3 linked regions of the Kluyveromyces lactis genome follow. The protein of the gene in region 2 binds, or shares a complex with, the protein of the main gene of each other region. Links are inferred from orthologs where the notes say so. Each region holds a gene or a part of one and is shown on either strand. Other genes may lie near its edges.

What was found. Proteins that work in one complex are often made in the same cells at the same time.
Region 1: the proteins of SEC66 (region 2) and SEC63 are in contact, whole or in part, in a cryo-EM structure (PDB 6N3Q), measured with the Saccharomyces cerevisiae proteins. The link is inferred for Kluyveromyces lactis from reciprocal best matches to the Saccharomyces cerevisiae genes SEC66 and SEC63. Residues at the interface, in NP_009730.3 of Saccharomyces cerevisiae: Asn69, Lys109, Leu113, Gln116, Ile117, Leu120, Asn123, Gly124, Ser125, Ile126, Gly127, Glu128, Asp129, Tyr130, Arg133, Arg178, Arg179, Ser182, Arg186, Val189, Glu193, Trp194; in NP_014897.1 of Saccharomyces cerevisiae: Gln247, Thr250, Lys251, Lys252, Asn256, Ala259, Ser260, Val263, Val267, Asn268, Tyr269, Lys270, Pro271, Ser272, Glu273, Ile274, Thr276, Ile339, Gly342, Phe343, Arg344, Leu365, Pro367, Thr528.
Region 3: the proteins of SEC66 (region 2) and SEC72 are in contact, whole or in part, in a cryo-EM structure (PDB 7KAO), measured with the Saccharomyces cerevisiae proteins. The link is inferred for Kluyveromyces lactis from reciprocal best matches to the Saccharomyces cerevisiae genes SEC66 and SEC72. Residues at the interface, in NP_009730.3 of Saccharomyces cerevisiae: Ala71, Leu74, Gln77, Ile78, Met81, Ile87, His88, Lys90, Val91, Lys93, Ala94, Ala95, Leu97, Asn98, Trp159, Leu162, Met165, Val166, Glu169, Ile170, Phe172, Asn173, Gln174, Leu176, Ser177, Arg178, Arg179, Tyr180, Gln181, Ile183; in NP_013395.1 of Saccharomyces cerevisiae: Thr3, Leu4, Tyr6, Lys11, Ile13, Asn27, Ile28, Gln30, Ile31, Leu34, Thr35, Leu38, Ile39, Glu41, Pro44, Asn45, Phe46, Pro48, Ile85, Glu86, Gln89, Arg90, Ala93, Pro94, Trp95, Glu96, Phe98, Gln101, Leu102, Leu105.

What each region holds. Positions count from the first base shown.
Region 1 is NC_006039.1:847,027-851,354, forward strand, and holds SEC63 (protein-transporting protein SEC63), read left to right. Parts: upstream 1-1,614; coding exon 1,615-3,624; downstream 3,625-4,328. Other genes in the region: MEX67 (Mex67p), read right to left, coding at 1-1,042; peptide alpha-N-acetyltransferase subunit NAT5, read right to left, coding at 3,711-4,202. UniProt on the Saccharomyces cerevisiae protein: Acts as a component of the Sec62/63 complex which is involved in SRP-independent post-translational translocation across the endoplasmic reticulum (ER) and functions together with the Sec61 complex and KAR2 in a channel-forming translocon complex.
Region 2 is NC_006041.1:2,180,046-2,183,024, forward strand, and holds SEC66 (Sec63 complex subunit SEC66), read right to left. Parts: upstream 1,402-2,979; coding exon 793-1,401; downstream 1-792. Other genes in the region: SMY2 (Smy2p), read left to right, coding at 1-679; NPL4 (nuclear protein localization protein 4), read left to right, coding at 1,745-2,979. UniProt on the Saccharomyces cerevisiae protein: Acts as a component of the Sec62/63 complex which is involved in SRP-independent post-translational translocation across the endoplasmic reticulum (ER) and functions together with the Sec61 complex and KAR2 in a channel-forming translocon complex.
Region 3 is NC_006039.1:461,980-464,958, reverse strand, and holds SEC72 (Sec63 complex subunit SEC72), read left to right. Parts: upstream 1-1,642; coding exon 1,643-2,275; downstream 2,276-2,979. Other genes in the region: KLLA0_C05148g (uncharacterized protein), read left to right, coding at 1-232; KLLA0_C05126g (Ran family GTP-binding nuclear protein), read left to right, coding at 658-1,302; KLLA0_C05082g (translation initiation factor eIF-2B subunit), read left to right, coding at 2,514-2,979. UniProt on the Saccharomyces cerevisiae protein: Acts as a non-essential component of the Sec62/63 complex which is involved in SRP-independent post-translational translocation across the endoplasmic reticulum (ER) and functions together with the Sec61 complex and KAR2 in a channel-forming translocon complex.

The DNA of each region.
Region 1 (4,328 bases), on a different chromosome or scaffold from region 2:
TAGATATCTTGGAAATGTTTCTTGAAAATGGTAAGTAATGACCGAATGTAGGAGTCGTTTGAGCATTAGGTACAGTAGCAGCTGGAACGGAAGAATCAACACTTAAGGAAAATTGAGACTGTGGAGTGTACAAACCCATCAATTGCATTCTATTCGAATCCCACAAGTTCAAGAAGTTGGTAATAAAATCTGTTGACGATGATGCCAATCCATTATCTTCGAAAAAGAACTGGGTTTGTTGTACCGGTAAGCTATAGATAGACAGTAGTTTCTGCTCGTCACGAACGACAACGTTATCTAGAATCACCAATTTGGGGAATATCCTTAACATTTCTGTACGATATAAACGATCCGATGTAATTGGATTATTCATCATCAGAAGCTCCCTCAACTCTTTGAATTTATTCTTCCAAACTTCAAGAGAATGGAATCGACTAATACTATTATTGGCGATGCATAGGTTTTTCAAATGAGGGAAAGTCTGTGCCAACGTGGTAACACCATTGACGTCTCTCAAATTATTATCAGATAGGTTGATCGATTCAACAACCATGCTAGGCTCCTTTGAAGCCACTTTCATCATAGCCGGGAACATCTTGGACTGCGTATTAACATTTTTCGGAGCCATACCGCGTTGCACCAACTCCGGATCATTGAACAAATTACCAAGATCCAACATCCTCGTTTGCACATTATATCTTCTCAAAAGCACATTACGAAGAACGGTTATCGTATCATTCGTATTAGGGTTTGTGTTCCCACCGGCTGCCTTGTGAATCTTCAATGAATTGCCTGCAAACCGGTACCCACTAAATTTCACCAATTGATCTGCCTCCTGCGGTGTCACATAACCAACTATAGTGTCCCCTTGAACCACAGAGTTTCTCACTGAGATCCTGGTCTTTCTCGAAATGAAATTCAACAAATCCTGTTGAGTAGCGTTAGTCCATCCACGAATGCTAACGCTGACTAAGTTATCCAATTGGTTTTGCTGTGCCAAAGCACCAATCTGATTCACGTTACCAAAACCACTAACTTGCATCACTCTAGTAACGCTATATCACAAGACTTTTCTCAACCAAATCGGTTAACCCGGTGAGCCTCATCTTTCAATCTCTATTCCCATCTCAATTACCAATGAGACTAGCACATTTTTTGATTATTTCTAGGTTTTTAGCATTTTTTTTTTTAATTTTATTCTTCAGTTTAGTAGAAAGAGATGATCGACCAAATCGAAACAGAAAATTCAAGGTCATGTGATATATTACGAGCACGTGACGTATAAATATCTTTTTTTTTTTTGGTCTTTCTCTTCTATTTGTTCTTCTAAGCTCTGCCGTATTGAATACGTATAGTGTTTCAAACAGAAGGAAAAAAACCCAAAGGTTTTTGGAAAATACAGACTGGCATATTAAAATCGAAATAAGTTAACTGTTAACTACTTTTCTAGATCAGAGGAATAATTGTTTGCAGTTTGAAGGCTTTTTTGTTTAATAGTACACTGTGGTTCACTTTTTTTGATTGCTGCCTGCTGTGTGTTTTATTGTAGCGGCTTAATTTATTGGCAGTCTTTTGGTTCTACAACAGACAAGCAGACGAACAGACAACGACGCCATGCCGCAGAATTATGATTACGATGAGGCAAGCACCACATGGCCATTTTTCGTACTCACGGTGTTATTTGTGGCTGTTACACCGGTAACATTGATTGAGCTGTATAGATTGATTGTTGGGGACTCCAGCGATAAGAGTTCTTCATCAGAATGGAGTCAATTGCACGAAAAATATACTTCAGAAGAAGTTCGGAAATATAGACTTGCTAATAAGAAGAAAAGGTCCAAGAAGGGAATTTACTTCATTACCGTTGGTTGGGTGCTCATTTCGATGTTGATTTATCATATTCGTTCCAACGATGCTATCTATCAGATTGCAGCAGCGGCTTTTGATCCATATGAGTTACTTGGTGTGACGCTTTCGTCTACCGATAAAGAGATCAAGTCTGCATACAGGAAATTATCTGTCAAATTCCATCCCGATAAGCTTTCCAAGGACCTAAATGAGATTGAAAGAACGGCTATGGAGGAACAGTTCGTGATGATTAACAAGGCTTATAAGGCTTTAACTGATGAAATTACGAAGGAAAATTATAGAAAGTATGGTCATCCAGATGGTCCTCAATCTACTTCTCACGGTATCGCTTTGCCCAAGTTCTTGGTGGAAGGAGGTACTTCCCCATTTGTTGTTTTTGCATATTTCATTCTACTTGCGTTTGTGTTACCCATGGTAGTTTCTAAATGGTGGAGCACTTCGCAAGAGTACACAAAACACGGTATTCATTCTGAAACAGCATCTCACTTCGTTGACAAAATGTTCAACTTCAAACCATCTTATGTTGTTGTGCCAGACTTAATCATTAAATGGATCTCTGAAGCAAAAGAATTCCAATTGAAATTCCCAGAATTGTCTTCCGTGGACATCGCTAACATTATCCATTCCCATGTTAACCGTGAAAAGACTGAAAACGAATATGCAAGGAACTATGTGCTTACCAAATCATCGTTACTTTTCCATCAATTGATAGAAATCGCATCCACTTTTAGGAACACTGAAGTTGCATTGATGGCGTTAGACACGTATAAGACAGTGGTACAGGCAACTCCGTTATCGCCACACTCTCAAATCTTTCAATTACCAAACGTGGATAAAGAGCATTTCTTGGATTCAACTACAGATGATATTTGTGCCTTGGGTAAATTATTCACATACCCAGATGATAAGATAGGTAAGATGCTAGGAATAAAAGATGAAACAGCACTCAATGAAACTTTGAAAGTAGCGTCTCGTATTCCTAAGTTGAAGCTCGTCAAGGGCTCCTTCAAAGTTCGTGGATCTTCTCTAAATACCGCAGAACCAGGTTCTACTCCTCACATTCAAGTTAAAGTGTTGGTTCGTTCTCCAAGACACAAACTTTTCCCAAACTCATTGATCCCAGCTGAAAAAATAGCTGGCGATGATCCATTGTTATTGGAACAGGATCCCTTCGAAAAATTGTTGGAACAACCATTGTTGCCTGAAACTTTCGCACCTTTGCTTCCAACAAAGAGACGTACTTGCTGGTATGCGTTAGTGGTATCACAAAAGGATGGTAAAATAATTCAAACCCCAAGCTTGGCCCAAAGATTGTCCCTAGAAAATTTGGATGTCAATTTCGATAAAAGAGTTATTAAAGATTTAGACAAGGAATTTAACGCTGAAGACTGGACCATCGGCACTTTCTCAATTCCTTTCGCTCAGCCTGCTCCTAAAGAAGAAGGCACATATTTCTTCAGAGTCGTTATCAAGTCTCCAGATTACTTTGGTTCTGATTTAGACTTCACTGTTCCATTGACTGTGAAAAATACTCCAATTGAAACAGATCCTAAGAAGGAGATATTGGAAGAACTAGACTCTGACGATTCAGGAAATGAAGGCGAAGAAAATACTGGATATTCCTCCGAAGACTTTGATGAATCCGATGGTGATGATCTAGAAGAGGACTCTGATTTCACTGATATAGATACTGATACTGAAGATGAACATGAAGCAACTGAGGAAACCACTGAAAAATCCTCCAAGACAGATTAACTTTTTACTTACAGTTCCTAATAAATTATCTGAGCACGCATTAACCATCACTAAATTGACAGGGCTTTTCATATGTAGATATATATTCATACTGACTTCTTATATACAAATGCATCATTAGATCCAGTGGTATTCTTGTAATAGTTTTCCAAAATGTCACCATCCCTGGAAAAGCCATTCTTCTCATACCATTCTATTGCTGTTTCATTGTCGGTGGCAACATGCACGTATATATCGTGTTGAAAGCTTTCCTTACATTTATCTTCGATATACTTCAACATTAATGAACCAGCTGTCTTTCCACGGTAAGCTTCAAGTACGGCCAATACTTCGATGTACATACCTGCTGGTTTGACTCCGCCGGTCTTATTGGCTATTAATCTGGATTTTACAGCACCAATCGCAATTTCCCCGTAATATGCTAGCTGTGCATAGAATACTCCTTTCGCATTCTTGTCCACAACTTCCTCGAAGTATTCACCTGGATACTGAACCGGTAGCACAACATCAATGATCTTTCTGAATGTTCCTAAATTGTTAGCGTAAACGTTATCAATCGTAACCAATGCTCTACCCATCTTCTCAATTGTCTATATATGGATACCTTACCTGCTGATTCTCAACGTACAGAAAGTACTGGTTTCTAGCAGTAATTCTTGTCATTGTATCTCTCTTGAAGATATTATTTCTTCGGATTATAAGTT
Region 2 (2,979 bases):
GGCAAATCCAGTTGGAACGAAAGCTCCTGCTAAAGCCCCTGTTAAAACTACTTCACGATCCACTCCAGAACCATCCGCGGATAGTATCAAATATATCGAAGAGCAACGTAGAATCTTGGAAGAAATACAAAACTCTCAAAACAAGTCATCTGCGTCACCTAGCTCCGATTCTTGGTCTACAATTGCTAAAAAGAAGACAAGTTTGGACTCTCCAAGACCAGCCCCTCAGATTAACAACTCATTTTTGAACCCTGGCAACACCAAGAAGAAAATTTTGCACGGCTCTTCAATTTCCATCCCAACTCTGAAAAAGGGTGTTACCTCTTCTCCAATCAATTATTCAGGTAATCAATCCACTTCTGCAAGGAGGCAATTTTTGAGCTGGTGTAGATCTCAAATGAAACTAGCACCTGGTGTTAAAGTGGATTCTGTTTTAGAGATGTTACTCTCTTTACCACCAAGCATGGATTCCAAGGAAATCATCTCTGATACTATCTACGCTAACAGTTCAGTGATGGAAGGTCGTTCCTTTGCATCAGAATTTATTAAAAGACGTATTGAATGCGAGAAATCATTGAATGATCCTTTAACATGGTCAGAAGCTCTTGCTCTTCCACAGGGAAGCGCTGATGATTGGGAATTCCAAGTTGTGAGTAAGAAAAAAGGTAAAAGGAACTAGTCTCTAAAACGTATGGGGTCAGTAGCATCTAGCATTATATTGTTTTTTGTATAGTGTACATAATCTCTAGCAAATACCCAGAGAGAAAACTCAACTGTATCTACGTGGTATCATTACTGAATTAGTTTACCGTTGTCATCCAACTTCAATTGGTATAGTTTTTGGAAAATGTTCTTTCTATCTAAAATGGAATCGTAACGTCTTTGTAAAGCTTGGTTGAAACAGATTTCTCTACATAGATTCACAAATGCTTGGGGCCAATCTGGTTGTAATCTTTCTGCTTCTTCGATGCAACTTTTCAATTCAAGATCAACCAATTTCATTTCGTTTTGGTACCTTTGCCAATACTTATCATCAACGGACCCATTCTTATACAAGATCTCAATTTGAACGGCGACCTCTCTTAATTTAATGGTACGTCTTACAGCTTCTGCACCACGGTTCAACAGAGCAGCTTTAACCACCTTAGGGTGAAGTTGTTCTGTTTCAGCTAATTCTGCAATTGCAAAATATAAATCACGGGCTTCATGTTCATCAAAAATGCTTGGTAATTCAGCTAGTTTCTTGACTTGACTCCTCCTATACTTGGATGCAAAGATCATTAAAGATATTACCAAGATCGAAACATAAACTAACGGTGTGTAAACGCTGACCACCTTGATTTCAGGCTTCTCTTGCCCTTCGAAAAAAGTCTCGTTGAAATGCGTTCCGTTATCTGACATTTTTGTTCTTTTCTTCCAAAGACGATCCTGGAAGGTGTTTCAATTTAAACAACAATCAAATCGATATCTCAACAGGCCACAGTTGACAATTACCACTCAACTTACAACTTTCAGAAGATGGTATGTGTTTAGATATAGATGTTACACTTTTCGTTTTTTTCACTTTTTTCTTATTTTAATACGTATACTGAGTGATGTTGGAATCCTCATTTGACATTAAGCATTTGCAATTCCTAAATCTTTGCCACTATTAGATAAAGAAAGAGCATTGCGAGTTAGAAAGAGTACAAACCTCTACTTTATAGCGGAAAAAAAAGTGCATTATAGAACAAGCGACATTACCATGCTATTAAGATTGAGATCAAAACTTGGTATTCACCGTGTAAGTTGCGAAGGAAATGACAATTTTGGCAGTGTGATTGAAAAATGGGCAAACCAATTAAGACTTAATGTGGATCCTGACTCAGTTTCAGTAAGTACACAACCTGGCGTCTCCAAACTGATGACTGAGATAGCACACCAAGGTGTGGAATCACTTGGCTTGAGACATGGAGACATGGTGACAGTTGAATTCAAGGTTTTGGACACTGAAGAAAAGAATGTTTCGGAGAAGGAAATGACCAATATGACTGTCTCCGCAAGCACAACGAGTGTTCCCATCAGTAGTAGCCACAACAAGGGATCAATAAGAGGCAAAGTCAAGGAATCTGCTTTAGATATAGAACTTGAGGGTGAGACTGGATTGATACCTCGTTCAAGATCATCACTTTGTAGACATGGAGAAAAGGGAATGTGTGAGTATTGCTCGCCATTGCCGCCTTGGGACAAAGGCTATCAAGATGAACACAGCATCAAACACATATCGTTCCATGCGTATTTGAAACAGCTAGACGAGGTTACCAACAAAAAATCCTCCGGTTCATCATACATTCCGCCCCTAAGTGAACCTAACTATGAGATAAATTTGAATTGTGCGGGTGGTCATGAGCCGTGGCCCAAAGGTATCTGCTCCAAATGTCAACCCTCTGCTATTACACTCCAACAGCAATCCTTTAGAATGGTAGACCATGTTGAATTTCAGGAGAGTGAATTGATTAACCAATTCATCGACTCTTGGAGAACCACTGGTATGCAAAGATTTGGTTATTTATACGGTTATTATAAAAGATACGATAACGTTCCATTGGGAATAAAGGCAGTGGTCGAGGCCATATGGGAACCGCCGCAACATGATGAACAAGATGGTCTTACCATGGATATGGACCAAGTCGTTAAAGAGGTAGAGGACACGGATAAACTTGCGCGCGAAATGGGTTTGGAAAGGATAGGTATGATATTCACTGATTTGACGGATACTGGGCTGGGAGATGGATCTGTGTATTGTAAAAGACATAAAGATTCATTTTTCCTCTCGTCACTTGAAGTGATCATGGCTGCTAAGCATCAGTTAAGACACCCCAACGTCAGTAAATTTAGCGAAACAGGATTATTCTCATCGAGGTTCGTAACTTGTTGCATCTCAGGAAATTTGAACCAAGAGATTGATATTGCTACGTACCAAGTAAGCATTGAAGCGGA
Region 3 (2,979 bases), on a different chromosome or scaffold from region 2:
TAAATTAAGTGACGTGATAGATATCAACACTAGTTTATCCCAAGATCTTGATGCAGCTACAAGGCTCATATCAAACATGAACAAGACAATCTATACGAAATTTGTGCTACAAATACCTGATACCACGAGTAAAACGGTTACTGTGGACAAATCAGATCACCATGAGGCATCAAGCCAAGCTTTGAACGAACTCACACGTGACTGGGAAGATATCAAATCTCAGTTACCCTGATATTACCCTATTTCTTTTCTACCCTAAATAGGATTGTGACCCTGCAGAAGAGCAGACAACAGTAAAATAATACATTGGATACGTAATCAAACCGATTCGATATGAAGTGCTATCACCATGTGTTTCTCAAGTACTGGTTATAGGGAGGCCAGTTGCAACAGAAGTATTCTATGCTGACTGATTCTTCACTTTCTGTTTCTTATATTTCTCTTTTAGTAAATTGATGGAAAATGCAAGAAATCGAAAAAAAAAAAAAATTAAAACAATGAAATTGAATACTTGATTCAGTTTAGTTATGTATCATCATCTCTTGCGCTTACGATTTGAGACACTTTCGAATAGATACTGCTATTTATTATACTCCGTTGTTGCAACTTTACTGTAGTCACTGCACACACATACCCTGATACAGTTATAAAATAAAAATGTCTGCTGAAGTTCCTACTTTCAAGCTAGTTCTAGTCGGTGATGGTGGTACCGGTAAGACAACTTTCGTCAAGAGACATTTGACTGGTGAATTCGAGAAGAAGTACATTGCTACCATCGGTGTTGAAGTGCATCCTTTGGCTTTTTACACCAACTTTGGTGAAATCAAATTCGATGTCTGGGATACCGCAGGTCAAGAAAAATTCGGTGGTCTAAGAGATGGTTATTATATCAATGCTCAATGTGGTATCATTATGTTTGATGTGACTTCCAGAATCACCTACAAGAACGTTCCAAACTGGCACAGAGATTTGGTTCGTGTTTGTGAAAACATTCCAATCGTTTTGTGTGGTAACAAGGTCGATGTCAAGGAAAGAAAAGTTAAGGCCAAGACCATTACCTTCCACAGAAAGAAGAACCTACAATACTACGATATCTCTGCCAAGTCCAACTATAACTTCGAAAAGCCATTCTTGTGGTTAGCCAGAAAGTTGGCCGGTAACCCACAATTGGACTTTGTTGCCTCTCCAGCTTTGGCTCCACCAGAAGTCCAAGTCGATGAGCAATTGATGCAACAATACCAACAAGAAATGGAACAAGCCACTGCTTTGCCATTGCCTGATGAAGATGATGCTGATTTGTAATCATCTTAAAACCTCGGTATAATATAAATATATGACATGTATATTTTTTCTAATTACATCATCATTTCTCTTCTCCTTAGATGGTTTGAATATCAACCTTAAAGTGGCTCTCCATTGCACGCCAGGTGTTCTAAGCAAGGAAAAAATTGCTGTTTACAGTATTACTATTTTCAAATCTAAGCTGTCAAGTAAATTATACTATCACTGGTGATTTTGGTGCTTCTGATACTATTTCCCTGGTCATTTATTTTTTATCCATAGCACCATTCTCAGTATCTATATTTCTTTATCTCGAAAATACAAAAGCTGTTTTGACTTAACATGTTCAACAAGAATCAATATGGGCCAGAGTACAGGAGCTACACCACCAGTTCCTATAACTGCTAAAAACAAAACCATGATTCAGTACGATAGTAACAATAAGCAGCTAAGCATCGACAATGATTCCAACACAGATAGGCTAACAAACTTGAATCAAATCAACAAGTTAACGACCGCACTTGTACCGGAAACAAACCCAAATTTCCAGCCTCAGCCAAACAATGAAACAACAAACATGGTCAAAAATATGTTTCAATCCGGCATGCAACAAGCACAGAACAAGAATATACCAGATGCTCTCAGAAAAGTCGACCTTGCTGTCGATATGCGTAATAAGGCTCGTAAACCATGGGAACCATTTTCTTTTCAACTTCAAGAGCTACACATGATGTTACGTAACAGAACAGATCTTGAATTGGTTTCACAGCGTAATCTAGATGCATGGCAAGATCTTGAGATGCTTCTCAACTGTGGTATGGTGGTGCCAGAAGTGTTTATAAGGTTAACGGATTGTTTACTTAAGCTAAATCTAGTGGAATTGGCGAGACCTTACTGTGAAAGAGGTCTTTCATTAGACCCAAAGAATGGACCTTTACTTGCACTTTTCCAAGCCTGTGAAAAGAAAATGCTCGAAATTGAGGGTGATCTGTAAATATAGTACATAGGTATCTAATTGAGCCCTCTGAACCGAATACTGTTCGTCCTCATTCTTCATGCTTGACATTTCCACGATGCTTCGTACGGTAATATCCATAATAAAAATACAAAAAAAAAATTTGAAATATGTAACATAAACTCATCACATCAACAAAAGTTGTTCGAAACAATAAGAAAGAAAAGCTAGGCAACTATTGTGATCATCCGTAAGAAATCAAACTAATCAAATTAAGATGTCTGATATCAACGTCGTGATTGATTCTTTCATTGATAGACTAAAAAGAAAACAGGTGATAGGATCCTATCAAGCGTCGTTGGAAACATTACAAATCTTGATGAGATATGTTTCAGCTATTAGATGGACCTCTACTGATGAACTGATAGTACAAATAAAAAAATTCGGAAACAATTTGGAGAAAGCACAGCCATATGAATACTCTTGTGGTAATGTTGTTAGACGTGTATTATCAATGATCAGAGACGAAATAGAGGAGGAACAGAGTAGTGCTGAGCCGATGATATCCTCAATGTTTAACCTATTACAGAAGCCAATGACTGATACGAAGACGAGAAAGATACAGGATAACAAACTAGACGTAAGGCAGACCATTGTTCAATCAATTCGTGATCTTATAGATGAAATAAAAAATATCGATGAAGGTATTCAACAAATAGCTATTGAATTGATTCATGATCGAG